4 linked regions of the Arabidopsis thaliana genome follow. The protein of the gene in region 1 purifies or fractionates together with the protein of each later gene. This does not show direct contact. Each region holds a gene or a part of one and is shown in the gene's direction. Other genes may lie near its edges.

What was found.
Region 2: the proteins of GAUT7 (region 1) and NDB4 purify together in Arabidopsis thaliana (affinity purification with mass spectrometry, with the first as the bait; one study listed by BioGRID). This does not show direct contact.
Region 3: the proteins of GAUT7 (region 1) and AT4G18030 purify together in Arabidopsis thaliana (affinity purification with mass spectrometry, with the first as the bait; one study listed by BioGRID). This does not show direct contact.
Region 4: the proteins of GAUT7 (region 1) and HAP6 purify together in Arabidopsis thaliana (affinity purification with mass spectrometry, with the first as the bait; one study listed by BioGRID). This does not show direct contact.

What each region holds. Positions count from the first base shown.
Region 1 is NC_003071.7:16,160,586-16,168,355, reverse strand, and holds GAUT7 (galacturonosyltransferase 7), read left to right. Parts: upstream 1-2,479; 5' UTR 2,480-2,832; coding exon 2,833-2,983; intron 2,984-3,075; coding exon 3,076-3,104; intron 3,105-3,184; coding exon 3,185-3,226; intron 3,227-3,316; coding exon 3,317-3,376; intron 3,377-4,136; coding exon 4,137-4,203; intron 4,204-4,302; coding exon 4,303-4,349; intron 4,350-4,443; coding exon 4,444-4,745; intron 4,746-5,165; coding exon 5,166-5,517; intron 5,518-5,612; coding exon 5,613-6,143; coding exon of another isoform or gene 6,144-6,170; exon of another isoform or gene 6,171-6,221; coding exon 6,222-6,500; 3' UTR 6,501-6,901; downstream 6,902-7,770. Other genes in the region: AT2G38660 (Amino acid dehydrogenase family protein), read right to left, coding at 162-326, 520-687, 786-1,022, 1,379-1,695, 1,793-1,964; AT2G38646 (uncharacterized protein), read right to left, coding at 7,547-7,770. UniProt on the Arabidopsis thaliana protein: May be involved in pectin biosynthesis.
Region 2 is NC_003071.7:8,951,695-8,958,106, reverse strand, and holds NDB4 (NAD(P)H dehydrogenase B4), read left to right. Parts: upstream 1-2,275; 5' UTR 2,276-2,407; coding exon 2,408-2,496; intron 2,497-2,858; coding exon 2,859-3,602; intron 3,603-3,679; coding exon 3,680-3,899; intron 3,900-3,989; coding exon 3,990-4,094; intron 4,095-4,190; coding exon 4,191-4,451; intron 4,452-4,525; coding exon 4,526-4,855; 3' UTR 4,856-5,050; downstream 5,051-6,412. Other genes in the region: GAUT10 (galacturonosyltransferase 10), read right to left, coding at 28-180; AT2G20805 (DNA-binding storekeeper protein transcriptional regulator-like protein), read right to left, coding at 1,370-1,768; AT2G20790 (clathrin adaptor complexes medium subunit family protein), read left to right, coding at 5,494-5,561, 5,634-5,762, 5,836-6,156, 6,248-6,412. UniProt on the Arabidopsis thaliana protein: Alternative NADH-ubiquinone oxidoreductase which catalyzes the oxidation of mitochondrial NADH does not translocate protons across the inner mitochondrial membrane. NAD(P)H dehydrogenase; more efficient on NADH.
Region 3 is NC_003075.7:10,011,258-10,018,384, reverse strand, and holds AT4G18030 (S-adenosyl-L-methionine-dependent methyltransferases superfamily protein), read left to right. Parts: upstream 1-2,345; 5' UTR 2,346-2,823; intron 2,824-3,101; 5' UTR 3,102-3,117; coding exon 3,118-3,765; intron 3,766-3,845; coding exon 3,846-4,056; intron 4,057-4,141; coding exon 4,142-4,814; intron 4,815-4,900; coding exon 4,901-4,978; intron 4,979-5,279; coding exon 5,280-5,535; 3' UTR 5,536-5,558; intron 5,559-5,699; 3' UTR 5,700-6,024; downstream 6,025-7,127. Other genes in the region: EIF4E (eukaryotic translation initiation factor 4E), read left to right, coding at 234-532, 976-1,141, 1,237-1,362, 1,456-1,521, 1,611-1,661.
Region 4 is NC_003075.7:11,275,982-11,285,111, forward strand, and holds HAP6 (ribophorin II (RPN2) family protein), read left to right. Parts: upstream 1-2,447; 5' UTR 2,448-2,557; intron 2,558-2,649; exon of another isoform or gene 2,650-2,662; 5' UTR 2,663-2,664; coding exon 2,665-2,810; intron 2,811-2,945; coding exon 2,946-3,138; intron 3,139-3,217; coding exon 3,218-3,307; intron 3,308-3,547; coding exon 3,548-3,610; intron 3,611-3,818; coding exon 3,819-3,888; intron 3,889-4,038; coding exon 4,039-4,103; intron 4,104-4,439; coding exon 4,440-4,494; intron 4,495-4,617; coding exon 4,618-4,739; intron 4,740-4,822; coding exon 4,823-4,938; intron 4,939-5,322; coding exon 5,323-5,392; intron 5,393-5,640; coding exon 5,641-5,745; intron 5,746-5,846; coding exon 5,847-5,936; intron 5,937-6,018; coding exon 6,019-6,167; intron 6,168-6,350; coding exon 6,351-6,462; intron 6,463-6,544; coding exon 6,545-6,628; intron 6,629-6,750; coding exon 6,751-6,831; intron 6,832-6,919; coding exon 6,920-7,144; intron 7,145-7,228; coding exon 7,229-7,351; and 4 more. Other genes in the region: EMB2271 (Transducin/WD40 repeat-like superfamily protein), read left to right, coding at 82-147, 228-305; AT4G21140 (copper ion-binding protein), read right to left, coding at 1,510-2,241; ZAC (Calcium-dependent ARF-type GTPase activating protein family), read left to right, coding at 8,713-8,752, 8,838-8,919, 9,074-9,130.

The sequences.
Region 1 (7,770 bases):
ACTTGATGCTAAAGATGCTGATGAGTTAGGATAAACCATGGCATCACAATCGCCAGGTCTATTATACAATAATTCAAAAGAGATCGTTAATAACTCGAACAGCATGGAGTCTCCTATCTAACATTACAAAATATATTTAGTAATAGACAGAGATACCATACTCAGAGGAAGATCCGCTTAGCAGCCTCCAAAGTATTGCATAGTAGCATGGTGATCGTCATAGGTCCAACTCCTCCCGGTACGGGAGTGATAGCCGAGGCAACACCTAACGCTTCCTCGTAACATACATCCCCGACAAGACGGTAACCAAACTCACAGCTACTATCCTGCAATATTATAACACGTCATGCTTCAATGTCTAATCAGAAACAAGAAAACAATCTGAAGGAAAAACATTTCAAGCTCTAATTCAGTTTAACGTTTTCTATATCAGATTGGATTCAAGCTATGGTATAAGTCTTTTTTCATTGGAAAGTATTAAGACTTTTGATCAGTTAAGGAAAATAGTTTCGTTTTTACCTCGACTGGAGTTGTTCCAACATCAATGACAACTGCTCCAGGCTTAAGCCAACTTCCACGAACTAAATTAGGTATACCCGCTGCTGCTATAACGATATCCGCCTTCCTAGTAATGTGCTCTGGATCCTTTGTAAACGCATGCACCGTGCTTACTGTCGCGTCATGCCTCTATCCGAGAATTTCAGAAAACATAAATGCATAGTTAATTCCCAAACCAAAATGTTTAAGCATAAGAATCCACTTGAACTATAAAGAAGAACTAATACCTGCAATAATAAAGACATTGGTAGTCCAACGATGTTGCTTCTGCCTATGACCACAGCATTTTTTCCTGCTATTTCAACACCCGTTCTTATCAACAACTCCACACAGCCCTTAGGAGTGCAAGATACAAACAGCGGTTCCCTCCCTCTCATTGCAAGATTCCCCACGTTTAATGGATGAAACCCATCAACATCTTTCTCCAATCTCACCATATTCAAGATTTTTGATTCATTAAGATGCTGTACAAGATATCTTCCATTAAATGATTGGACTCATGAGAAAAAAAAAAAAAAAGGAAAGGAAACCAACAAAATACAAGAACGTTCTCCTGAAAAAGAGCTCCACAAGTAAGATGCTCTATCGCATAACCTGTAAATTAAATGCTTTACCTACCAACGAAAAGGAAACCTTAAAGGGGAAAATGTTATGCATGAGTCCATGGTCGATGAAAATATATGAATCAAGAATTTCTACATACAAGTATGAAAACAAAGTAAACGTAACTACTTGACCTCCTAACATAGAACTAATCTTTGACATCAACAACACTAACATCCCCCATCACAACGTCCAAAGAAAAAAATGAGAAACATACTTGGGGTAAAGGAAGTTGCACAAGAATTCCGTGAATAGACGTGTCTTCATTGAATTTTCTCAATACACTGATAATCTGTCCTTCAGTACAATCCTCTGGTAATTCAGCCAAAACAGATTTAATGCCAGTTTCTTCACAAGCTTTAATTTTGTTGCGAACATAAGTTTGCGAGTCTCTTTGTTCACCAACCAAAACAACAGCAAGACCAGGGACTTTTCCAACAGCCTTTTTCATCTTCCCCACTTCACTAATAATCTTTGTTCTGATTTCCTCAGCGATAACATTACCATCTATCACCACAGTCTTCTGTTCAGTCTCTGTATAAATGCATACACACAGAAATCAACTCATACAATTAGAGAATTTTCTTGTAACATATATATATAGCCATGAAAATGCAACAAAGAGTATTACCAAAGGAAACAGGAGGTGGAGGATCAGAGTAAGGAATCCAATTTTCAGGCAAGTCAAGTGACACGAGAGGAGGAGACACTAAGATGGAACTAAAGCAATGTACATCCCTTGTTGCCAAACGAAACGCCTTAGTATGCGCCGAGGCCAAAGCTTTCCTCGCGATCATTAACATACTCAAAACTAAAAGAACAGTCACTGATTCAAATCAAGCACAAGAAAAAAGTCAATGTAAAAGTACAGACCAGACAAGAGAACCTTAGACAGGTCAGCCTAAGCTAGAATAAAACCATAATTTGATCCTTTTAGCTCCATACTCTTCATTACATCCACACAAACAAATAAAGAGGCGCATAATACAGTAAAAACAAACTTGCACCAGATTGAACCTAAATGGATTAAAGATTTCACCAGACTATCATAAGCTTTCACTCAGCTAAAATTCATCTTCTTCACTCAGCTAAATTCATCATACATAGAATTCTTAACAAAGAAGAAATCGGAAAATAGGAAAAAACAGAGGAGAGATTTACCAGTGGTATATAAAGCGTCGTCAATGGCGTTGAAAAATATCGCTAGGCATACCGGAGTTTAGGATTCAACGAGTGACAATATAAAACGATGATGATTAACAAAAAAAGTAAAAAGAATTCACCACCGTGTGAGAAAAGACACGTGTTATGATCTGGAGATAGATCTTGCAAGTGGGTTAAATAATAAACGGCGGAGACATAGCCACACGTGTGAAAAAAAAAGAGGTGTGTGTGTGTGTGTGTATGTGTGTATGTGTGTGTATCTCTCTCTCTCTTCCTCCAAGTAGCAAAAAGCAAAGGGGAAAGAGACGATGCGATCGGGCTAAGTGCAGAAACACTTATACTTGTGCATTCTGCAACACAACACACACACAGAGAATTCGACGAGAGTATGATTTGAGTGTATCGAGAACAGAGAGAGACATTGATAGAGAGATCGTTGGCAACGTTTTGGGGATCCAATGCGTTCGTAATTGGGAAAGACATTTCATTCAATTCTAAATCGGGAATATGAAAGGCGGAGGCGGTGGTGGAGGAGGTGGTGGCGGAGGAAAACGCCGGTGGAAAGTTCTGGTGATTGGAGTTTTGGTTCTTGTTATTCTTTCTATGCTTGTTCCTCTTGCTTTCTTACTCGGTCTTCACAATGGCTTTCACTCTCCTGGTATCTCTTATCATTCTCTCTCTAACACTCTCTTTGCTTTTTTTCTGCCGATCTCTGTTTCAGATCTAATCTCATCTTTTTCACTTTTTCAGGATTTGTCACTGTTCAACCGGCTTCTTCAGTAAGCAATTTCTCGTTTCTTTGTGTGTTTGTTTTGGTGTGTTTTGATTTTGTTCTGAATCTTCTTTCTTTTGGAATCAGTTTGAGAGCTTTACCAGAATCAATGCTACTAAGCATACACAGGTAATGTCACTCTCCTTTGATTGATTCGATTCTCATTTTTTATACCAAAATCTTTTTGCTGCTTTTGATATTCTTTCTTTGGTTTTGCAGAGAGATGTATCCGAACGGGTCGATGAGGTTCTTCAAAAAATCAATCCAGTTCTTCCCAAGGTTGGTTCCACTTGTTTCAGTGTGGATTAAAGGCCTTGACCTGTTCCATTTATGTTATAGATTAGTAGTTTTTGACAGAAATTTTAGATCTTTTCATGTACCCATAGAGTCAAAGCATTTATGGTGGTTGGAAGCACTTCATTATCTTACACACTGCTCTCTAATTGACACACACATTTCAGATCTGGTCTATATATGTTTAATTTTCAACTATTGAAGTATGTTTCTGTCATAATTATTGGCATTAATGTTTCACATCTTGTCTTTCAAGTGGTGTAAAATATATAGGCTTTGTAGTTTGATTACAGATAATAGGGCTATTTGTAAATGTATAGGCTTTGTATCAGGTTTGCCACAGTATTCTTGCAAGATGTCAATGCTAACATTAGAAAAAACTTAGATGCCTTTTCGTTTCATGGAAAGCTATGCAAGATGCCAATGCTAATATTAGCCAGTGAATCTGGAAACTTTACTGGCACTACAAACAAACTATAGGTCAAAAGGTTGTAGTTAATCAGTTGCCGTATATTTTGTGTGATGTTGCTTAAAGGGTAGAGAAATTAGATGAATGATCTCTTTATTTTTTTTATATTTGACTATCTCATGAGACTAGAAAGTTGAAATACTTTCATGAATTATGTTGCTTAATGTATCTCAAATTGTCTTGGGCAAGGTCAAGAATTAGTTCCTTGGGTGAGATGGTTAAACTGTTTGTAACAATTTCTATACTTATGTTTTGTTTTATTGTATCACATGCTAGAAAAGCGACATAAACGTGGGTTCCAGAGATGTGAATGCAACAAGCGGCACTGATTCTAAAAAAAGAGGTCTGCTTTACAAGCTTCACTTTCTTGAAATTCCTCTTCCATTATTTTATATTGATTCTGGTCTGATACTTTACGTCTGGTCTCTCCATTAATCTGCAGGATTACCAGTGTCCCCAACTGTTGTTGCCAATCCAAGCCCTGCAAATGTACAAATATATTAAGTGGTTTCCTTAGTAGACATCTTTATATCTCTCACCAATCATTTAACGTTAACCTTACTCTGCTTTCTTCTGTGAACAGAAAACAAAATCGGAAGCCTCATATACAGGTGTTCAGAGGAAAATAGTAAGTGGTGATGAAACTTGGAGAACTTGTGAAGTGAAATATGGGAGCTACTGCCTCTGGAGGGAGGAAAATAAGGAACCAATGAAAGATGCCAAGGTGAAGCAAATGAAGGACCAGCTGTTTGTGGCTAGAGCATACTATCCCAGTATTGCTAAAATGCCTTCTCAAAGCAAGTTGACTCGGGATATGAAACAGAATATCCAAGAGTTTGAGCGTATTCTTAGTGAAAGTTCTCAAGATGCTGACCTTCCACCACAGTAAGTTCTCTACCAGTTTGGGTTTAATCATTTTTGTACTGAAAGTTAGTTCCTTACTGGAAAAGATTTTGTTGGATTCTAGTCACATGAATCTCTCCTAGTTTGCCTTCAGTTTGTCTGGACATCCTGTTTTCTAGTGGTTTACTTGCTTTCAGATGGTTTATGGTATAGAAAATATTTATCATAACATTCTCTCTTCACCTATCCAGTGGGCAGCACATCCAGAAATATCACTATTTTGAAGCCTTATCGGTCTCAATATCTTAAACCAATGTATAATTTAGTAAACTAATGTACTAGATGATAGGAGGACGCCATGGATGTTGTTTGTTCTCTCTCAAGAGAAGCTTTGATGTGTAGAATCCTATGCTAATTTCTTTAAACGTACTTACTGGGTATCTCTTAACACTGTTGTGTCAGGGTTGATAAAAAGTTGCAGAAGATGGAAGCTGTAATTGCAAAGGCAAAGTCTTTTCCAGTCGACTGTAACAATGTTGACAAGAAATTGAGACAGATCCTTGATTTGACTGAGGATGAAGCTAGTTTCCACATGAAACAGAGTGTGTTCCTCTACCAGCTTGCAGTACAGACAATGCCTAAGAGTCTTCATTGCTTGTCAATGCGACTAACTGTGGAACATTTCAAGTCAGATTCACTTGAGGATCCCATTAGTGAGAAATTTTCAGATCCCTCATTACTTCACTTTGTTATCATCTCCGATAATATACTAGCATCGTCCGTTGTGATCAACTCAACGGTTGTACATGCAAGGGTGCGTCTTAAATCCAGTTTTCTTTACTTAGTATTTTTTTTCATGCAGTCATAGAACTCTGATTTCTAATTCTTGGTTGGTTATTGATGTTTCAGGACAGTAAAAACTTTGTTTTCCATGTACTGACAGACGAGCAGAATTACTTTGCAATGAAACAATGGTTTATTAGGAATCCTTGCAAACAATCAACTGTTCAAGTATTGAACATTGAAAAACTCGAGCTGGACGATTCTGATATGAAACTGTCTTTGTCTGCGGAGTTCCGTGTTTCCTTCCCCAGTGGTGACCTTTTGGCGTCTCAACAGAATAGAACACACTACTTATCCCTTTTCTCTCAATCTCACTATCTTCTTCCCAAATTATTTGACAAATTGGAGAAGGTTGTGATTCTGGATGATGACGTTGTAGTCCAGCGAGACTTATCTCCCCTTTGGGACCTTGATATGGAAGGGAAAGTGAATGGCGCTGTTAAGTCGTGCACTGTGAGATTGGGTCAGCTAAGGAGTCTCAAGAGAGGAAATTTTGATACCAATGCTTGTCTCTGGATGTCTGGTTTGAATGTCGTTGATCTTGCTAGATGGAGGGCATTGGGTGTTTCAGAAACCTATCAAAAATATTATAAAGAGGTCAGTTTCCTGAAAAACCTTTTGTAAGAGATAATTGGGTGATTCTGAGCAATGACTTCCTTTTTTCATGTGCAGCAGATGAGTAGTGGAGATGAGTCGAGCGAAGCAATTGCATTGCAGGCAAGCTTGCTCACATTTCAAGACCAAGTATATGCTCTTGACGACAAATGGGCTCTATCAGGGCTTGGTTATGACTACTACATCAATGCACAAGCCATAAAAAACGCAGCCATATTGCACTATAACGGGAACATGAAGCCGTGGCTTGAGCTGGGAATCCCAAATTACAAAAACTATTGGAGAAGGCATCTGAGTCGGGAAGATCGGTTCTTGAGTGACTGTAACGTGAATCCTTGATGAGTAAGTAGCTACACGGCCAATGCTTTTAGAAGCAAGGTCACACGCAAAGAAAAGATTTAGAGTGCAACATCTCAATTTTTTGGGTAAATAAACCCGAATGCATTGCAGGAGAAATGCTGAAGGGGAAGAAGCATGCAGAAGCCATACCAAATTGATTATAAGAGACGTGATGATGGTGATTTGAAAAGCTTTGATATGATTAAAAAAAAAAAAAAGAGGATGTGAAAGAACTTTGATATGTTGTATATGATTTTTGGCAAAGAGATGTGCCATTCTTTTCCTCGCGTTGTTTTTCCAATTTGTCATGTAGTTTCTTTGTTATTCTTTACTTTTGTGACGTACCAAAATAGAAGGCGATAAGATTTTTTTTAATCTATTTCTTATTAACTAGTTTGCACAGTACATTTATCCATGGTGTTGAAGCTTCTTCTCAGAAAGCAAAAACAATCAGGTCTTATGAAGGATTTCTCTCAGACAGTGTGTCTGTTGCAATAGCGGAGGAGGCCCTTTCCTCGGTAGGTTAAAGTTTCGCATCCTTGCTCATGCGAAACTAAATAGTAAATAGTAAAGAAACTTTGACCATACAATGTGTCTGTAGCAACATTACAGCAGGAAGCTACACTAAATAGTAAAGAAAGTTTCGCATCCTTGCACATGTTAAATGATTCAAGCAGAAACATTGTTATAAAAAAAACACAAGCTGCACAAAAACCAATCCACACTTCACAAATCCAAACGCACCAAATAACTTTGTCGACAACTATGGTCTCAATAGTTTAAAGCACAGAGGTAAATGGATCCATCGCAACCTTTACAGTCCTTGTACTTTAATTTTGAGCTGATAGTTTTTCCCCTAATTGAGGTAACGTACAAATCAAGAAAGACATTGATTACTATGTAAATAAAGTGCAGTGTAGGTATAATGTTATATCCGTATAGAGATAATACATATAAGTAAAGAGCATGCATGTGGTATAAAGAAAGAAGAAAGAGACCTCAAGCAAAATTGTAACGATGAAGTCCCATCTTAGCATAAAGCTTGACTAAGTGGTAAGGATTAGGAGGGAGATAAAGACAGTTAACCTTGACCATTTTATAACCACCGCATACACGTCCATATGACCATATACAAACATACTTTCATCGTCGTCGGATGATGACGATACAGACCAAAACAAATCCCAATCACAATCATGGTTAGACATATAATTAACAAGAAGATGAGAGAAAGAATATCGATTGGTTTTGAGAAATATACGATATTCGG
Region 2 (6,412 bases), 7.2 Mb from region 1:
AGAAGAGATCTTTGAGATTGAATATACCTTAGGAATAGAGGGTCTAGGTTCAATATGACCAGCTTTGGAGAGAATGAGAAAGAAGAGCAGGAGGGCAATACCAGAGAGAACCCACCATACCACATTCGAGATCTTCCTCCGTCCAGCTCTCCGGAAACTATCCCCTCCTCTCCTTCTCATAGTTACTGTACTCGCAGAGCTGTGTAAAACCCAGATCTTATAAATGAATGATGATGGTGGAAGTATTCGGATCTGAGAATTTTGTCGGGAGAAGCAAAAATAGCTCAACCGACCATCTTCTTTCTCTTCGCTGCAAAAAACCTCGAATTCACCCTTCTTTGAGAATCAAGTAACTATTTTTTTTTGTAAGAGAGTGTTAAAAGACATATCTACCCTCTTTTGGCTTTCAATTTCTCTAAGCTAGTTTGGACTTTGGAACTATATAAATTTTGGTCTTCAAGCCAAAAAACTACATAACAAAGCCAAAAACTTCATCCACACTAATCCGAGCCAATTTTCCCCACTTTGGAGTAGCTCTGGGCATGTCGGTATTCAGGTCAGGTTCGGATCAAATTTTTCGGATTGGAGTTTTTCGGGTTTAGAAATTTTGGATTTTTTTTCTTTCCATATTTAGAAATTTTGGATATGTTGGGTTATACGTACAATTTTGAATTGGGTTCGGTTTGGGTTCACTTCTAATACAAGTAATTCGGGTATTGGTTAAAAACCCATACATAACCAAAATTATTTTGGGTTTGAGTATTACTTACCCAAACATTGTCCAATTATACCCAAACATATATTAAAATATCCATAAAACCCCAAAGATCTAAAATTATAACAAATTTTTCCTTAAGAAAATAATATAAAACAAGAAGTAAACCTTGTTTTGAGCTCGTTCCATAACTCAAATCATTAAACAAGTCACAAATTCAAGTTATTAGTGCATATATGTCCTCATATGTATATATATGTTCAAATAATAAAAAGTACTCACATGTATCGGGTTCGGTTCGGATAATACCCGATACCCACATTTATTTGAAAACAGAATATGATCGGGTAATTAGCCGAAACCGAAGTATAACAAGTTTGGATATTTCAGGTCGGGTTCAGTTCGGTTCTACGGATTCGGATATTACGCCCAGACCTACCCTGGAACATATTAAATGTAATATTTTTTCCTTTTTTAGTGTTTAACATAATAGCTCTTTTATTCATGCTTAATCTTGGAGCTATTTTGTACTATTTTTGACATTTGCTTCGTAATCACAATCATCAAATTTTATTTTCATAAGTAAGAAGCTTTTTCGAGACTTAAAACTCTTAAGTTTTTGATCGAAGTGCTTCAATCATCTTTGCTAACACTTCATGAAGAAAACCACTTTTTCGCGAATAGAACTCGAATTCTATAACCTGCAAAGCTTTCCAACTGCTCCTCGAATATCTTCTTATCCTCTAAGTCAAGGCTACTCAATCCTTGTTGAGGAGTAAGTTCATCAACACCAAAACGCTCTAGTGATCTAACAAGAGAAGAATTGGGAAAAGTATCTTTGTTTTTACCAAGCTCAAGGTTCATAGACATAACTTTCTTCGATTTCACAGGTGATTCTTCAATATCTCCCCAAACAAACTTAGACAATTGAAAAGCCCTGAGATCATGAAGTCTGATATGTTCATCACCATTCTTGGCTTTCACAAGATTGTTCTCATACTTTCTCTTTAAACTCGCAAGCATTTTCATAAATTGAACCTTAATTAAAGACATCAAACTAATAGTTTTCTTGTTAAAAACTATTAATATCTTCAAAAGCACTTACCTCAATATCGTTTTTGTAATCGATAAGAGTTTGTAAAGGCACAATCTCATAGTCTTCATGCATATATAACATAAAAAGTTTAGTTATGAATTTTATGAATTGTAACATGCATGTATAGAAGTGAATGAGGTATTTATTCCATTCTTCTTATTAGCTTTATCATATACAGTATTCCAAATAAAATCAGAAATGAAAATCAAAATCGAATCCAACAGTTGTTCGAATTCCAAATATATATAATAATAAAAAATCTCCAGGGAACGCGGAACATAATGTCGCTTAAAGTCTCGAGTTTTGAGAGAAAGTCAAACCCTAAACAAATCTGCTGTTTATTTACTTTAAAAAAAAAAAAAAAAGAATATACCTAAATTTACTTGGGCGTTACTCCAATTTCCTAAATACCTCACTGTCTTTTCTTTTTTTCTTTTTTCTTTAAATTTTGTTTTGTGTGTCGCCGACCTCTCTCTCACGTACCCTAAAGTAGCTTTGATAGTTTCCATATTGCATATTCTTTCACATTCGCAGCCTCTCTTCCAAAGCTCTCAGCTTTGTTTTCTTTTGGATCTGAGGTTTGAGAAATCATCAACATGAGTTTCCATAGCTTTTACCAGAGAGCTTCTAGCTTATTCAAGGCTTACCCTTCTACTTCCAAGATTCTTCTTCTCAGCACTTTCAGGTCTCTCCTTATTCTCCTTTAGATCTCCTTCACCATTCTACACTTCTTCTTCTTCTTCTTCTTCTTCTTATTCTTCTTTTAGCTGTAGAATCTATATAACTCTTTTGTTTCCAATTCTCTTTATAGATGCTTTGACTGTTTTCTTAGTATTTTTAGTCTTGTGATGTTTTTGACCACTCCTATGCACGTGTCCGAATTTTTCGCTTGTCCTCTTTTGGCCTCTTCCCTAGCTGTGATGCATGATATAATGCATACCATCTCTATAAGCTTCATACCTTTTTCGACTCAGATCTATGTTTTTTTTAAGTAACGTGGGTCTAACAATTATTTTGGTTTGTGTCTTTTTATGTATTGTTGTCCAGTGGTGGTGGTGGTGTACTGGTGTATTCAGACTCGAATCCATTGAAACGTATATTACACGCAGACGCTACTCTTGACTCAGATGGCAACCCAATAAGGAAGAAGAAGGTGGTCGTTCTTGGCAGTGGATGGAGCGGCTACAGCTTCTTGAGTTACTTGAACAACCCTAACTATGATGTTCAAGTTGTCTCTCCTCGTAACTTTTTCCTCTTCACTCCTCTCTTGCCAAGTGTCACCAATGGTACTGTCGAAGCCCGTAGCATTGTTGAACCCATTCGTGGTCTTATGCGCAAGAAAGGATTTGAGTACAAAGAAGCAGAGTGTGTCAAGATTGATGCATCGAACAAGAAAATCCACTGCCGGTCCAAGGAAGGGTCAAGTCTTAAGGGCACAACAGAGTTTGACATGGATTATGACATTCTCATCTTAGCTGTTGGTGCTAAGCCTAACACATTCAACACCCCTGGAGTTGAGGAACATGCCTATTTCCTCAAAGAAGCAGAGGATGCTCTAAACATTCGTCATTCAGTCATCGACTGTTTCGAGAGAGCCTCTCTTCCGAATCTAACTGAAGAAGAGAGGAAAAAGATTCTGCATTTCGTTGTGGTTGGTGGAGGACCAACTGGAGTCGAGTTCTCTGCAGAGCTTCATGATTTCCTAGTCCAGGATGTGGCTAAGATTTACCCAAAGGTCCAAGAGTTCACAAAAATCACTCTTCTTGAAGCAGGCGACCACATTCTCAACATGTAAGTTCCACCCATCAAGCTTCATTAACTTTGGCTAAATCTACTGCTTTTCCAATGTTGGTTCAATTCTACTTCAGGTTTGACAAGAGAATCACTGCTTTTGCTGAGGAAAAGTTCCAGCGAGATGGTATTGATCTGAAGACAGGTTCAATGGTTGTGGGAGTGACTGCTGATGAGATATCCACAAAGGAAAGAGAAACTGGCAAGATTGTCTCCGAACCTTATGGTATGGTTGTGTGGTCAACAGGAATTGGTTCACGTCCTGTCATCAAAGACTTTATGCAGCAGATTGGTCAGGTTAGATTACACTTGATCACATGAAGAAATCATTTGACTAACCAAATCATTTGCTAGTGTCCCACCTAACTAGATTGAGTATGGTTACAGGGACAGAGACGTGTCTTGGCTACCGACGAATGGCTTAGAGTAGAGGGATGTGACGGTGTCTATGCTTTAGGTGACACTGCAACGATCAACCAACGCAGAGTCATGGTATCATCTCTCTTGACATTGTTCCTTTGTGTCACATCTCAGTTGATGAATGAATCTTTAACCTTCTGTTTTGTCTTGATGTTGTTGAACAAACAGGAAGATATAGCTGCGATTTTCAACAAAGCAGACAAGGGAAACACAGGAACTTTGAAGAAGAAAGATTTCAATAGTGTGGTTAAAGACATTTGCCAGAGGTACCCTCAGGTGGAGCTCTACTTGAAGAAGAATAAGCTGAAGAACATTGCAAACTTGCTCAAGAGTGCAAATGGTGAGGACACACAAGTGAATATCGAAAAGTTTAAGCAAGCTCTCTCTGAGGTTGATTCACAGATGAAGAACCTTCCAGCAACTGCACAGGTAAGCTTGTTATAGATCAAAACAAGATGAAATCAATCCACCACACAGATTTTGATGTTTTGATTCTTATACAGGTTGCATCACAACAAGGGAAGTACCTTGCAAAGTGCTTCAACAAAATGGAGAAATGTGAGAAGAAGCCAGAGGGACCATTGAGGTTCAGAGGAGAGGGTCGACATCGGTTCCAGCCATTCAGGTACAGACATTTTGGATCGTTTGCTCCACTGGGAGGGGAACAGACAGCAGCTGAACTGCCAGGAGATTGGGTCTCCATTGGACACAGCAGCCAGTGGCTTTGGTACTCTGTCTACGCCAGCAAACTGGTGAGCTGGCGCACAAGGATGCTCGTCATCTCTGATTGGACTCGACGCTTTGTCTTTGGCCGTGACTCTAGCAGCATCTAAGCCATTCTTCTCCATCATTTTTTTGTTCTCCTTTTTTCTACGGTTTCCTTTAAATCTTCCCGCTAGTTTGTTGTCTTTTAAAATCAGATGATGATGACTATACATGTCATTCCTATATTTTCTCAATCACATGAACTTTTGATTCTTGAACAAGGACAAGCATATTTCTAATTTAATTCATAACAAAGAGTTCCCTTCTCATACATGACTCTTCCTCTCCCCTCGATCGCTACATCTTCGATCTCAACTTCTTCGATCGATAAGCCTTAAAAGGATTTCTATGGTAAATTTAAGCTCAAGTCAGAGCGATTCACCAAAACCCCTAGAAGAAGCAATTTGAAAAGTAGGGTTGAAGGATTTGACCGTTGGTGGAATCCAGGCCATTAGATTTGGGGACTCTTGGACCTTTTCTCAGTCGTAAAACATATGGCCCATTAAACTTTTAAGAAGACCCAAACATTCGGCCCATCATCGTTTAGATACTCCGTCGGAGTCTTCTTCTTCGTCATCGTCCCAAAACCAACCAGAACGGCTCTGTGATCGGAACCGCCGTATACATCAATTCAACTACGTATGTGCCTTCGTCCCTTAGCTTAGCCAGATTCATCACTGGGGATTTCATCAGCAGCCGTACAATTATGCCCTCTGGTTGCAGTATCAGAGCTCTCTGGATCATCAACAATCAAGACACTGTTGTTTTCTCCAGGTTTCAAATTTCTTCTATAAACCCAAATCTCACTCATTCCAATTTCTACTCTTAATTTGTATGCAAAATCAGGAGGTTTCCGGTCGTCGAGAAGCAATGGTGCTCCGCTTACAAGACGGAGAACGAAAACACTGGATTAGATCTTCCTAGACTTCCCACTGATCAACAAATCTCCGATTCTTTTACTCGAAGAAAGAGACGGTACAACACTTTCTCTTGTTTAGCTTAATTAGATTTTCTGGAAATGTAAAATTGAATTTCGAATCCGAATTAGGGAAGGCTCTACTCGTGGATATGGTATACGTGTTGCTCAATCCACCAAAGGATCGGATTCTTGGGTTGATGATCCCATCACTCGTCATATTATCAGCCTTTGCTTAACCGAAGAAGATGATGATGATGATGATGAAAGGAACATTCTCTGGCCTATTGCTCTGCATACCAAAGCGCTTTACTCTATCCTCGTCTTGCCTTTGGTTGAGCCAAAGGAGATGAAGGATTACGTCAAGCTTTGTAGGAGATCTGATTGTGGACCAGCTGTTGGTGAAGATTTGAGTTTATCATCTCTCTTGCTTAACATTTCATCCATTACAGGGTACTTATAGCTCCTTAAGGGCAATGCTTTTGATTTAAGAGTGATGTTCAACTCCTTGATGGATGCACTTGTCTTGTCACTCATGTTGTAGGGCTTTTATGGTGGCTCATGCATTTGGTGACATCATTTCTGGTGATACAGTGGAACCTGAGGTTGTTGTAAGTGTGTCACCATCAGTTGGGGGGTTGTTTGATTCACTAACTGGAAGCATTGGTATCTCATCGAGGGCTAAACCTGTAGCTGCACCTGTTGCATC
Region 3 (7,127 bases), on another chromosome or scaffold:
ACTTCAAACTAACACGACCATTAGAAAAACCTTTAAGAGCAAAAAGAGCCGGAGACAAGTTAAAGCCCATAATAGTTGTTAAGTTATCTCTTCGGCCCAAAAAGAAAAAAGACAAGAAGTATGTAATTAAAACGACGTCGTATCATAGTTAACCCTACGAGAGGAAGTACATTAGTTTGGAGAAGAGTAATAGACAGAGAGATAGAGAGAAAGAGAAGCAGTTCGGAGAAACAATGGCGGTAGAAGACACTCCCAAATCTGTTGTAACGGAAGAAGCTAAGCCTAATTCAATAGAGAATCCGATTGATCGATACCATGAGGAAGGTGATGATGCCGAAGAAGGAGAGATCGCCGGAGGAGAAGGAGACGGAAACGTTGACGAATCGAGCAAATCCGGTGTTCCTGAATCGCATCCTCTGGAACATTCATGGACTTTCTGGTTCGATAATCCTGCTGTGAAATCGAAACAAACCTCTTGGGGAAGTTCCTTGCGACCCGTGTTTACGTTTTCAACTGTTGAGGAATTTTGGAGGTTAGGTTTTTGATTTTATTTTATTTCCGACTCAATATCTGGTTTGTTCAATTATTCTGCATCTGGGTTTTGTTATAGGTTTCGATTTGTTGAGGAAAGTTATGTTCTTTATTGGGGGATTAGAAGATCCCATTGAAGTCATTATATGTTTTTGATGAATTGCTATGTTTGGTGTTTGAATTCGTAGCTAAAGCTTATGTTAGGGTTTAGCTTTGATATTCTGTTCACTTGTTTGTGAAGTAAAGTAGAAGAGCAAAGTTTGTGAGAGAAAGAGACCAACTTTGAAATCTTTCTTAGTGGTTTTCTAGGTATCAGAATTTGAGCAAACACTTTCGTGATGACTGAGGGTTGATGTTGTATAGTTCTTGCTCTTCCCAATGAGATTCATAGGTTTGTGTATTGTTCTTTCGACTTCTTATTTTAAAAGACATTTTGGTTTGCAGTTTGTACAACAACATGAAGCATCCGAGCAAGTTAGCTCACGGAGCTGACTTCTACTGTTTCAAACACATCATTGAACCTAAGTGGGAGGATCCTATTTGTGCTAATGGAGGAAAATGGACTATGACTTTCCCTAAGGAGAAGTCTGATAAGAGCTGGCTCTACACTGTACGGTTTCTATTCTTCTTTTATTTTGACTCGTAACTCCTGCGTCATCATCCAATTGAATCTCACCGGTTTTTCTTTTTACATGCTTGGTTTAGTTGCTTGCATTGATTGGAGAGCAGTTTGATCATGGAGATGAAATATGTGGAGCAGTTGTCAACATTAGAGGAAAGCAAGAAAGGATATCTATTTGGACTAAAAATGCTTCAAACGAAGCTGCTCAGGTAAATAGAAAAGACCTTTCTCATCAAAACTCATCAAACAGTCTCTCTGTGTAAAAATAAGACTTTAATTCTCGTCTGCATCAAATGTTGCAGGTGAGCATTGGAAAACAATGGAAGGAGTTTCTCGATTACAACAACAGCATAGGTTTCATCATCCATGTAAGAAGAAAGCTTCTCATAATTCTAATTCAAAAGTCTTCATTTTCTTCAGATCTCTCATTGTTTGGTTTGGTTTCTTTTTTTTTCAGGAGGATGCGAAGAAGCTCGACAGGAATGCAAAGAACGCTTACACCGCTTGAAACCTCTCAAATCTTTGCATTGTTTCAATTACAGTTTTGTATGTGAGAGATCTCTATTTATCTAAACATGACTTGACAGTCTGTCTTTGCTAGTGTTGATTGTTCACGAAGCTCTAACATTTCATTTAGTAATATATTAGTATGGTTCTTCATAATATTTACGTTGGTGCCCTTGTATAAAACCACCGGAGTGAGCGCAAGCTTTACAGACAAACAGTGCTTCTGTCTACCCAAGGCGGGCCTTAAAAGCCTGAATAGTGTATATGTTTACTTGACAAGAGCCCATGTACACTCATGAGCGATTGACTTTAACCGGTTTTAGAGAAAACTACTTTTACATTGTCACATTTACATCCTTTATAATTAACCTTTTAATTTAGGTTTTAAAGATCCACCTCAGCATTTATTTTAATGGAATGATTATTTAGCAGTGTGAACCGATTAACTCGGTTTTTGACGGTGACCGGTTTAGAGGAAATGGGAGTGTCGGTAGGAGATCTAAGTAGCGAGTATGTAAATTGTCCAACTGTCTGAAAAGGACCACTTGGGACGACAAGATTCTTCGGCTAATAATAATACATCACTCGTTTCAACAAATAAAATTTTCCTTTCTATTATTATGCAATCTTATAGCATATGGATTTGATCTTTTTTAATATATAAACAAAAGGTTTTCCAATTATGCTAAACCATAATCTGAAATTGATTTTAAATAGCTACAATCAACTACCCAAAAGCTTCAAATATGCAAAATAATAAAGTATAGGTTTATATATATAAACGCACACAAAAGAGGTTGAATAAAAATAAACATAAGGATGCATGTGCAGTCCAGATTAGATCTAAATCTATTGAGTATTGTAATAATATTGTTATGAAGATCTTGCTGCGAAACTACACACATTTAATTCCAACATGTTTTGTTTATAGAAATTGAATAAAATCAAACGCGCCTTCATCTTCAAGTTAAAAATCAAATCTTAATTAGTGAAGACAAAGAAGAAGAAGACATTATTTTAAGTGAGTTCTCTCTCTGTCACACTCACAAAGCTTTATACTTTCTGGCTACTGCAAGCTCATCACTGAAAAGAGCTTAAACCAGAGAGATCTGATAAGAGAAATTTTAGAGTCTCTCTGCTTCAACAAGATCTACATCGACCAGGTTCAATATTTTTCTCTACTGTTAGTTCGTGTTCTAGCTCTGTTTCAACGAGATCCGATTCTGTGTTTTCGATTTCAGTGCTAAAGTTACGGTCTTTGAATCTTTCTATGTTAGGATTAGTCTTTTGAATCCATAAACTCTAGATTTCAATTGTTAAAGGCTAGGTTTTGATTAGTTTGAATTAGCTAGATCCTTTTTTAACAGATCTTGATGTTTAAGCTCAAAGTTGTGTCGTTATACTGAGAATCAAGTTTGTGATTTGTTGGGAATGGTTTCAGGAGATTAGAAAGAATCATGGGTTCTAAGCATAACCCACCAGGGAATAACAGATCGAGAAGTACACTATCTCTACTCGTTGTGGTTGGTTTATGTTGTTTCTTCTATCTTCTTGGAGCATGGCAAAAGAGTGGGTTTGGTAAAGGAGATAGCATAGCTATGGAGATTACAAAGCAAGCGCAGTGTACTGACATTGTCACTGATCTTGATTTTGAACCTCATCACAACACAGTGAAGATCCCACATAAAGCTGATCCCAAACCTGTTTCTTTCAAACCGTGTGATGTGAAGCTCAAGGATTACACGCCTTGTCAAGAGCAAGACCGAGCTATGAAGTTCCCGAGAGAGAACATGATTTACAGAGAGAGACATTGTCCTCCTGATAATGAGAAGCTGCGTTGTCTTGTTCCAGCTCCTAAAGGGTATATGACTCCTTTCCCTTGGCCTAAAAGCAGAGATTATGTTCACTATGCTAATGCTCCTTTCAAGAGCTTGACTGTCGAAAAAGCTGGACAGAATTGGGTTCAGTTTCAAGGGAATGTGTTTAAATTCCCTGGTGGAGGAACTATGTTTCCTCAAGGTGCTGATGCGTATATTGAAGAGCTAGCTTCTGTTATCCCTATCAAAGATGGCTCTGTTAGAACCGCATTGGACACTGGATGTGGGGTAAGTCGATTTCTGTTTGATCTAGTAACATATCTTATTCATTTCTTAGATTCTTATTGATGCTAATTTACCATCTCTAGGTTGCTAGTTGGGGTGCTTATATGCTTAAGAGGAATGTTTTGACTATGTCGTTTGCGCCAAGGGATAACCACGAAGCACAAGTCCAGTTTGCGCTTGAGAGAGGTGTTCCAGCGATTATCGCTGTTCTTGGATCAATCCTTCTTCCTTACCCTGCAAGAGCCTTTGACATGGCTCAATGCTCTCGATGCTTGATACCATGGACCGCAAACGGTAAATATTAACTATCAAATTAGGCGAAAATCCATTTCTTGCTTGTACTCATATTGGTGTCTTTGCTTCTTGATTGCTTGTACAGAGGGAACATACTTAATGGAAGTAGATAGAGTCTTGAGACCTGGAGGTTACTGGGTCTTATCGGGTCCTCCAATCAACTGGAAGACATGGCACAAGACGTGGAACCGAACTAAAGCAGAGCTAAATGCCGAGCAAAAGAGAATAGAGGGAATCGCAGAGTCCTTATGCTGGGAGAAGAAGTATGAGAAGGGAGACATTGCAATTTTCAGAAAGAAAATAAACGATAGATCATGCGATAGATCAACACCGGTTGACACCTGCAAAAGAAAGGACACTGACGATGTCTGGTACAAGGAGATAGAAACGTGTGTAACACCATTCCCTAAAGTATCAAACGAAGAAGAAGTTGCTGGAGGAAAGCTAAAGAAGTTCCCCGAGAGGCTATTCGCAGTGCCTCCAAGTATCTCTAAAGGTTTGATTAATGGCGTCGACGAGGAATCATACCAAGAAGACATCAATCTATGGAAGAAGCGAGTGACCGGATACAAGAGAATTAACAGACTGATAGGTTCCACCAGATACCGTAATGTGATGGATATGAACGCCGGTCTTGGTGGATTCGCTGCTGCGCTTGAATCGCCTAAATCGTGGGTTATGAATGTGATTCCAACCATTAACAAGAACACATTGAGTGTTGTTTATGAGAGAGGTCTCATTGGTATCTATCATGACTGGTAAAACATCTATCCACACACAAATCTTTATCTTCCTTCCATCAATGGCAACAATCATACAATCTCTACTGTTCAAATCTCTGTAGGTGTGAAGGCTTTTCAACTTATCCAAGAACATACGATTTCATTCACGCTAGTGGTGTCTTCAGCTTGTATCAGCACAGGTAATGATTATAAACCCTAACTTAACCTTAAAGCTCCACACTTTCTGAGAATCAAAGCAACCCTTTATTTAGCCCTAAAGCTACAAACTTTCTGAGACTTAGCAACGTTGAAGTGAAACCCAAAGCTATGAACTTTCTGAGAATTAGTAAACACTTGTTTTAACCTTAAAGCTATGAACTTTCTGAGAATTACCAACCATTGATCTAAACCCTAAAGCTACAAACTTTTTGAGAACTAGTGATGAATTTTTCAATTCTGTACTAGGGTTGTTTAAGTAATGGGTCAATTTCATGTTGGCAGCTGCAAACTTGAGGATATTCTTCTTGAAACTGATCGGATTTTACGACCGGAAGGGATTGTGATTTTCCGGGATGAGGTTGATGTTTTGAATGATGTGAGGAAGATCGTTGATGGAATGAGATGGGATACTAAGTTAATGGATCATGAAGACGGTCCTCTCGTGCCGGAGAAGATTCTTGTCGCCACGAAGCAGTATTGGGTAGCCGGCGACGATGGAAACAATTCTCCGTCGTCTTCTAATAGTGAAGAAGAATAAAACAAAAACAAAAAACTCCTCAGGTATTGTAGTTACAGTCCCTGTACTTTACATTTTTTACCAGATTTGACTACGAACTTTTGTTAAGATCAATTAAACCCAAATTCCTTCTTTTTCCTTTGTTACTCTTATGATTGAGTTTGTTTTTTCTTTCTTTCTTTCAGGTTACTAAGCTTGAAGTGTAGATCTATTTTACAACATCTGGAAAATTCTTATCAAAAAAGGAAGGAATCAGAATTTCCATTAAAGAAAGGTGTCAAAAAAAAGTTGTAAAACTATATAGTAGTGATCAAGACGAATATGTGCATTTATGTTTTATTTTTGTTCCCTAGTTTTTAATTTTATTTTTTTGAAGGAAGAAAAAATTAGTTCCATGTGTTTTTGCAAGATAGTTGAAACCTTGGACGCTTGTTATGTATGATGCGATCTTGACATTTTTTAATAACAGTTATTTTAAATAAATTTATGATATAAACGGAAACTTCTAGATAGTTTTAAATAACATAAAATTAGTAGAAAATATCAATAACAGTTCGATGACATTATTGTAGGGAAATTGATTCATATGTGGGTCGCTATTGTACGTAAATGGATACTACTGTTTTGGAAGAAAGCTATAGTTGTCATGGGTCACCTTTTGTCTCATGACTCTCATCATACATTTATAGATTACATATTTACATTATCATAACATTTTACACATATTGATATAACTATCTCTAATAAAAAAAAAACACAATCTAACTTTATAGCACATAAGTATTAAACATAATGAATTTATCCCCAACAGTTTTAAGTTCCGGTCGAATAAAAAACTATGGGTTGTTGTGACATCGGCTCCTTTATCTACAAACAAAAAGAGAAAAATTATTCTTCTTTTCTTTTTGGGCAAAGATGGAATAAAAGGACCAATAAAAATAGTAAAAAATACAACTAAGACTACTTTCGTATAAGTGATGACTCTATAAAGGAAACTGTTTTTTTCATTCAATTATTACATCAATACTACTTTCGTTTGAATTATAACATTTTCGTACAAAGATGGATGCATATACACATTTTGTTTGGCTTATCCTTCCCAGACAAAAAAAAGTGGCTTATTGTTTTTAACCTAAATAATCCGACTCGTATCAATACACTCGCTTAAGAATTTTTATTTTCTTTGATAACAGGAATTTCGCAAAATACTAATCTTTCGCATTTTTGGAGTGCCGAATATTGATGTTTTAAACATCTATAAGGAGTTAAGGATTAAGGACCAACTTTAAACAAAATCATAGTTGAATAACTCGAATCATAATTCCTCATCTCCAAGATGAGTCATCAAATCACTCGATCACAATAAAATGAGATATTTCGCCAAAGCTCAATTTCATTAAATTATAGGCAAGATCATACTCTTCCGTAAGGAAAGCAAATTGGAAACTATTAAACTTACATGGATAATAAAAGATACACAGGTTGATGTATTTTTAGGAACTACAACATCCAGATAACGAAACCATAAGAGAAAAAGTTATTACTAGAAAATAGATAAAGAAGTCTAAACATCCTAACCAACGAACTATTGACCTAGTGGTAAATTTCTCGGG
Region 4 (9,130 bases), on another chromosome or scaffold:
TTTGTTTTCCTAGGTCGGCTCTTATTGCTATTTGTGTGTTGCATCTGTTACTGACATCCAATGCTTATGACCTTTTTGCAGCCTGGGTTTGTGAACTCTTTAGCTTTTGCAAAATCTGGTCGGTTTCTGATCGCTGGTGTTGGACAGGTACACATTTTCCTTTAACCAGACATATATATTCGTCTCTGTGAATGCCAATCTTAACTGTAACTTTGGGTATATGGCAGGAACCGCGGCTCGGAAGATGGGGTTGCTTAAAATCTGCGCAGAACGGTGTTGCAATACATCCCTTAAGGCTTTCATGAAGGGATCTCAATTTAGATTGCAACTTATTTTAGAACTTCAGTTATGTAGAGGTACTACAGCTATATTTTTGACATGGAAGGGAAGAAAGAGAACATATAGAGGCTCTAATTAAACAAAATCGGAAAGTCCCATTCCTGCTTTATGCTTAAAAGTCTTGTTTTATTGATCAAACAACATATACAATCTGATCTTTACGCATAGAGGAACTTTGTTTTAGTGGTATTCAAAAGATCCTAAAGAATACTAGAATTGATAAAAATTTGTGGTTTAAGAACTCAGATACACAAACTTGATTATTTTACCAGAGATTTGGACTCAATAGGTCTACAAAAATAGCTAGTGAACTAAGGAAACATAGAAGCCAAGAGGTCCCTAGATGAAGTCTAATGACTACGATTCTCTCTAGACTAGCTACCTCAGCTTTCAAACTATGATGATCCTTGGAGAATCGTGGTCTTTGTAGCTTTAGGACTCTTGCCATTGCACTCTACTGGACCGGGTAACAAGATGCAGAAAATGATATGGAGAGCTTGAAGAAAATACCCAGAAACTATGCATTTGAATGAAGAAGCACAAGCAGATGCAGGACATCCTTTCCTACATAACATTCTGCTGAACTTCCAACACAAAGCTCACAGAGGACAAACCTCAACTCCCATATTGATTAAACAGTTGTAATCTTGGTGCAGAACTGTAGATTCCAAGATAGTCTGCAGTTCTTATCTAGGAATATGGTTTTGGTAAGGATAAAAAGTTATACCAAGTTTGAGCTGATCATGACCCAGTGGCCTTCCTAAAGGTTAGAATATATGAAGAGACAAATCCTAAATGTATGAGTGTACAGTGTTCATACACATAATACTGAAAAATGAAGATTTGAAAGAAGTATGCAAACAGGCAAACACGATCAAGGAAAGAGATACAAAAGAGGTTTAACAAGATTCCATTTACATCCTAGACAACTTCACCTCTCAGAAGGCCGATATGAAACAATATAAAGTAGAAAAAGATTAAACTTTCAAGCTTCAACTAATATTCTATCATATAGTAGCAACTGCCAGTGACCATTTTATTTCAAGTAGATCACAAAAATAAAGACAAATGTCTCAAAGTTATATCCATTGATCGAAATCCAATCAACACAACTAATAAAACAAGAGAAAACCAATGACGCAAAGACAAATTCCTCTAACCTTAACAAGATCATCTCAACTTCTCTTTACCAGAGCTCTTCCTAGCCGCAGCATTCATAATCCTCTCCAAATACCCTTCAATAGGTGGAGTAAGCGTAGCCGTACCTCGACTCACCGGAAACGGAGTCAAATCACGCACTAAAGCCGCCTTCTTCAAATTCTCCGGCAATGCCTCAACCGCAGCGTTCCTCATCTTCATCAAACTAATCTCCGCTACACGTCTCGCTCTATGCTCTCTCATAAGCACTCTACTATACTCTTTCGCAAGTCTAATCCCATCCTCCACTGTAACCTTATACTTTGGTAACTCATCTTCCGTAAAAATCCCTAACGAAATGTAATCCAATCCTGGAGTCCCAATCCTCATCGGCGCAGTAGTAACTCCCATCGTAAAGGATCCACCTTTCTTCTGAAAATCAATCTCTTTTTGCCTCGCTTTACTGATTAGCCCTAGCTTCTCTCGTCTCGCTTCTCGCTCTCTTTCCTTAGGTCTCAGGTAACGAACAGGACAAGGAGCGTTTATGCATTGATCTGAGATTCTTCCTTTTCCCTTATCCACCTCATCACCACCTCTGCCACCGCCGTTTCCACCGCCTTTTTTGATTGTGAGTTTGTTGCGTTTCAATGATTGGCCTGTCTTCAGCTTCGATTTTCCTTTGGGGGTTCCACTAGCGTAACATTTCTGGAGAAGATTGTAACTCACTGAGTCAATTATAGGTTTTGGTCTCGCGAATCTGATCATTTTCAGATTCTGATTTCCTCAGAGCTCTCTCTGTTTGAAATGAAAATGGTGATTGAAGTTGATCTGCAAGGTTTAGGGTTTCAAGGTACGCCGTCGTTTCATGAAGTGTAATTTAAGTTCAAATCGAGGGTAAATCGGTAATATCAGGTAGTGTCATCAAACTCACACTCATTTTTTAGCCTTCTCTCTGGTTCGTCGTCTGGTTCAAAAGCTATAGATCGATCCTAGGCTTACCTCAAACCTCAGTCTCCGTTGACTACTGAGACTCGTCGACCTCTGATCCGCTTCTTCGACTATACGGATCTACTTCCGATCTGTAAGAAGCTTAAATCTTCGGTTGATTTTGGAATCCATCCGTCGTAGATGTGTAATTGTATTGATTTGGATGAGTTTATCTGTTTTTTTGAGTTTTCTTATGCAGTGATGATGGCCGGAGGTAACGTACGGTTTCTGGTTTTGATACTCGCCGTAGCAATTTGCGGTGCTGCTTCTGTTTTCCAGCCGATCTCAGACTCTCACCGATCTGCGGCTCTGGATGTCTTCGTACCAGTCGATGGATCATACAAAAGGTTGGTTTCTCTATCTTAAGTCGGCATTGCTTTGATGTAGGGGTTTTAACCACATTTCACCGATTACATATTGGTTGCTCGTTAATGTTCATGAATGGTTTTTGTACGGACTAATCTGATTTTTATTACTATCAGCTTGGAGGAGGCATATGAAGCATTAAAGACTTTGGAGATTCTTGGAATTGATAAAAAGTCTGATCTTAGCTCAAAGACTTGTGAGAATGTGGTTAAAGTTCTTCAGTCGTCTTCTTCTACTCTTAAGGATGCATTTTATGCGTTAAACGTTAATGGGATTCTAAAATGTAAAATTGGTGAAGCTGGTCCTAAGGTAAACAATTGTCTCCTCTCAGTATCATAATTTTAACTATTAAGCGGCTAAAATAACCTTATCTTTTCCTCTTTTGAAGGACATTGTTTCTCAACTTCAAGCTGGTGTTAAAGATGCGAAGCTATTGCTTGATTTCTATTATTCTGTCAGAGGCTTGGTGCTGGCTAAGGTAAATACGAGTTAAAACTTTTGGTGGACATCTTGAGTGAGATTGACTACACCCTTTTTCCATAGAGTATTTCTAGGAGAGTTTTCTTAGTTTTTCGTGCATTATGTTGAAGTATGAAAATGTTTTGGCAGAAGGTACCTGTGATCGTGATTATTTTATTTTATTCAACTCCATAGCTTTGGCTTCCTGACTTTTCTTTTTCCTGGCTTCAAGTTTGACCTCACTGTTCCATGAATGCAGGAGCAATTTCCTGGAACTCATATAAGTCTTGGAGATGCCGAAGCCATTTTCCGTTCCATCAAGGTTTGAACTTGTTTAGCTGACCTTCAATTTTGTTGTTGTTGAACTATCAGATGTGACATTCATACACTGTCTTTTTGGACTATCAATTATAGACTCTGGTAGAAGTATATATATATTTTCGATATGTTACCAAAACTCAGTTACTATATTAATACTACTTAGATTGTTTTCCGGGTATTATTTGGCTGATATAGTGCATTTGTATCAGTCTCTTAGCCAGAGTGATGGAAGATGGCGCTACAGCTCCAACAATCCCGAATCAAGCACTTTTGCTGCTGGTTAGTAGTACATATTGGATTAACCCTTACCTAACGTTAATGATGAGCCTTTTAGATTATGTATCCCTTCCTTTCTTGCTTCAGCTTGTTCACTTCTTTTGCTCTTTGTTATTTCACTCATTCTTCTCAACATGCGATTTTTTTTCTCAGGCTTAGCCTATGAAACGCTTGCTGGAGTGATTTCATTAGCACCTTCAGAGTTTGATCCATCTTTGGTAAGTGAGATGTTTAATCCACTATACTTCTGATTTCCTGAGAATATATTTTGATGAGATATCACTACGATATGTTGGTTTAGTGATGATCTACTTTTGCTTCTGGAATCTCTAAGTAACTAAAATAAAGAGTTTTGTTTTGATAATTATAAATTCCAAATCTTAGCTACAGGGAATTGTGATTTGATAATCACAAAGAAAGATTCGTGTTTTGATAATTATGCATGTCCACCTGACTTCTCATTTGGTTATTCTGGTGGTTTCTTTTTCATTTTATCTGGTAGTTTATTAATCTTGGTTATGTAATGATCGTCATTCATGTTTGTCCTCTGTTAGATCCAGTCGGTGAAGACGGGTATCCTGAAGCTTTCTGACAGTATCCAAAAATATGGTATGCAGTAAATTACTTGCTATCCTATGTATTGCATGTTATATTCTCTTCACTCACTTCATAGTTTTTGCCAGCTTGGGTTTTGCATATGTGGGCTTTGAATTATTATTTTTGGTCTTTTAGATGATGGGACATTTTATTTTGATGAGAAGTCTGTTGATGCAAGTCAAGGCCCGATCTCAACAACTGCATCAGTTATTAGAGGGCTCACGTCATTTGCAGCTTCAGAATCCACAGGATTGAACGTATGTAATACCCATGTTTTCATGTATCCTATTCTGACAAATGTGTTGATAGTTGACCTTCGCATTCCCATTATCTCATGCAGCTTCCAGGTGATAAGATAGTTGGTCTGGCCAAATTCTTTCTGGGTGTTGGAATTCCTGGTGATGCCAAGGACTTCTTCAACCAAATAGATGCACTAGCTTGTTTGGAAGACAACAAGTAATACTACTTTCATGCCCCTTTGTGCATTTTCTTTGTGCATTTTCTTATTAGTTTATTTCAGTACACATCTTAGAATCATTTCAGTAACCTTGAATTGAGTGGTGTGAAAGACATAAGAGTTACAAGGACTTACTGTTACTTCCATTCTTTTGTGTTAAAGTAAAGTTGCTTATGAAAGAGAAAAACTGTTTCTCTTTACATTGTTAGAATTTTGAACAAAATGATTACCGAAGAAATGATATCTGTAGGGAAAGAGTAGAAGTTTAAAACTTTGAACACTTGTGAAATTTCAACCACTTGCTCATTTATTATGGTCTAGCTGAAACTTTATCATTCTATGGGAACAATAATTTGCTCTATGGTCATTCTCTATCATTTCAGGTTTTCTGTTCCACTCATCTTGTCTCTTCCATCCACTGTCATTTCATTGACAAAGAAAGAGCCTCTGAAGGTACCCATTCATAAGCTTGCATCAAGATTTGACTTCTAGTAGTGAAAGTCTTAACTTTGGACTTTCTGGCTATAACGGTTGGATGTTGGATTCTAGCTGGTATTTGGTTTAGAGATTGCTCAGGCTCATAGCATTGCATCTTTTTTGTAGAGATCTCTTATCTATTTGATAATGACTCATTTTAGTTGACCCTTCATCCATTACATTTTTTCTTATTTTAGATTTTTTTTCTCTTTATCTGGAACTAGGTTAAAGTTAGCACTGTACTGGGTTCGAAGGCACCAGCTCTTAGTGTGAAGCTTACACAAGCTCTAAGTTCTAAGTCAGTGGATTCATCTGTAATTAATAACCAGGTAAATAATGTATCTCTTACTGTTTGAGCTTGCAATAGAAATGTTCCTTATTCTCTGCATTAGGCCGGTTTACATTTTTCCATTACATTTTTGGGGTACAGGAGCTTAAGTTTGACGCTGACAGTGCAACGTACTTCCTGGACTCCTTTCCCAAGAACTTTGACATTGGAAAATATACTTTTGTATTTAAGGTATTGCACTTCTTTGGTTTTACTACACCCAAGACTTCATATAAATGTATGATGACAACATGATAAGCTTCGTTTTCTGCAGATTGTGCTGGATGAATCAGCACATGAGAAAGTATACATAACTGAAGCTCAAACAAAAGTGCCTATAGCTGCCACAGGAGCTATTAGCATTGAAAATGCAGAAATTGCTGTACTTGACAGTGACATTGGAAGCGTTGAATCTCAGAAAAAGTATGTCACCTGTATTGTTGATGAACAACTTCCTTTTTTGCTTATTTTGATTGATTGCTAATTGCTTAACCATTTTTCTTAGGAAACTTGTACCATTATTGCTTACAATATATATTTCAAACTTTTTGTTGTTGTGCTTAGTGTCTTCTTTTTGTTTATTGGTTCTCTCTGTAACATTTGTAGGCTAGATTTAACTAAAGATGGAGCGGTATCATTATCAGCAAACCACCTTCAAAAGCTACGCCTGTCATTCCAGTTAACTACTCCACTTGGCAATGCGTTTAAGCCACACCAGGTTTGTTCATTCTTGATTTTTCGCTTCATCAATGGTTATATTCTGTTCTATTCACTTTCTTGACTTGCTTACTTCCATGCAGGCATTTTTCAAGCTGAAACATGAGTCACAGGTCGAGCATATCTTTCTCGTGAAAACTTCTGGAAAGAAGTCTGAATTAGTTCTAGTTAAGTTCCTTCAACTTCATTTAAAATTGCTTTTGCAAAAAAAGTTTAATGATCAAGTTTGGTGAAATTAATGACGTCCTAAATACAATATTAATGGTTAATGTTATTTTCTTACCTTCAGGATTTTCTTGGATTGGTTGAGAAGCTCTACTACCTCTCTGGTAAATATGAGATACAGCTAACCATTGGAGATGCTTCTATGGTAAGTACTTTACTTTCAGGTCCAATGCAGTTGATGATTTATGTCTTCTGAGATTTGAACAGTGTTATTTTCCTTTCTCTTTTCCCAGGAGAACTCTTTACTGAGTAATATTGGTCACATTGAACTAGACCTACCAGAGCGTCCAGAGAAGGCGACTCGTCCTCCTCTACAGTCTACTGAGCCTTACTCAAGATATGGGCCAAAAGCTGAAATATCACACATATTCAGGATTCCTGAAAAGCTTCCAGCAAAGCAGCTCTCACTAGTTTTCTTGGGTGTTATCGTTCTCCCATTCATCGGTTTCCTGATTGGGGTCAGTCTCCCTTTGCTTGTAAATAGTATCCGAAAAACATCATCACATTTCTTTCACTACTCATATATATTTTTTATGTTTCAGCTTACGCGGTTGGGAGTGAACATAAAGAGCTTCCCATCGTCGACTGGATCTGCAATATCCGCTTTACTTTTCCACTGCGGAATTGGAGCTGTTTTGCTTCTATATGTGCTATTCTGGTTGAAGGCAAGTTTTCATAACCGATTATTGTTTGTTTGATCTACAGTTGAATCATTGCATCAAATCACAATTTCTTTGTTTTGTTTGTTTGCATTCTACAGTTGAATCATTGCATCAAATCACAATTTCTTTGTTTTGTTTGTTTGCATTCTACAGTTGGATCTATTCACGACTCTCAAGGCACTTTCTTTGTTGGGAGTGTTTCTGTTGTTCGTGGGACACAGAACACTATCTCAACTTGCATCAGCATCAAACAAGTTGAAATCTGCTTGAAGAAGAAGAACTCACTATGAAGGATCTTTTTTTGGTTTATGCGTATTTTCAGTTTTGTAGTATTGCTTATAGATTATGGTGATAGACAAATTCAAAAGAAGTTCAGAGTTTACATACTCTCTCAGTTTAGTCTTAAAAAGTAATCAAGAGTCTCTTTCCTTAGCTTTTTTGTTGAACCAAATCAACTAAGATAATGATTAGCTCATGATTAGATCACATGAGTTTCTTAATTATTCACACTTTATGAGTGTTTGTGGAAAGTTAAAAGGTCTAACAAAATTTTGAAATAGGCTGGCCATAAAATCGAAATGAAATTTTATATATAAAATCAAACCGAATTTCATTCTAGTCAAAATAGAAATAAATGCTGATAAAAATGTAGAAATTACTTTGGGTAGAAACGAGTCAACGAAGGAAATGTATTTGGTATTTGACCCTTAACATGGCAATGGCAACGTTACAACTTTTTTTTTTTTTTTTTTTTCTTGCATCGTTACAACTTCACAAAACTTTACAGTTGATTGGAAAATTAAATTTTAGAAGAAAAAGCACGTAGTTGTCTTTTCAGACAATTATTTGTTCATCTTGAATTTGTGTCCCAAGAACATATCTCTCTCTCTCTCTCTCCTCACCTTGGTAAGAACGTCCAATCCAATCTATAAATCTCCTTGATGGAATTTCCGTACATATTACTTGTTCCTTTCTGATCTCTTCTTCATCGGTTTTATGTTTCATCGAGTTTGAATATTTCTTTGTAAGTCTTTTCCTGTCGGTTATGTTTTCGTCGTTGAAATGGTTTCAGGAATTAACAAAGATCAGATTTTTGGCCTTTTTTTCTCTTCTAAATTTGAATTTCGATTTTGGGAACACGAATCGATGATGCTGATGATCTACAAATGGGTATTGAAAACGATTTGTTCATGGTTATTCTGCGGTCGTGGTTTCCCCAAAAAAGTTTGGTTTTTAAATTTGCAAAGCAGAGTTTGATCTCTCATTTAACAATACCATGTTCTAACCATATTGTGCGTGATGGGTGATTTCTTTGGTCTGTGAAGGATTCTCTGTTTGATGATTGCTAGTTCTTTAGAAGAGCAATGAGTTATTCTGGAGCCGGACTCGGAAAGCCTGGCTCAGGTAAACCATTTATCTTAGCAAAGATTAGTCTTTGTATGAGAGATATATAGGCTGTGACTGATTTATCCACCTTGTTGGTTCACAGGTAAAAGGAGAATAAGGGATCTTTTAACTCAATCTGATAACCGAGTCTGCGCTGATTGTGGCGCTCCAGATCCTAAGTGGGCGTAAGTTTTGCCATTTTTATGTTTTGTTCCAGTAAGCATTTTATGCTTCTCTAAGCAGTTTGATTGAATGTTATGATCTTGTTTCCCTACTTGTGCATTTTTTGGTTTGTTTCGTTTTTCGTAAACCCATAAAACTCTTGGTTGCTTATTACAGGTCAGCTAATATTGGAGTGTTTATATGCTTAAAATGTTGTGGTGTCCACAGAAGCCT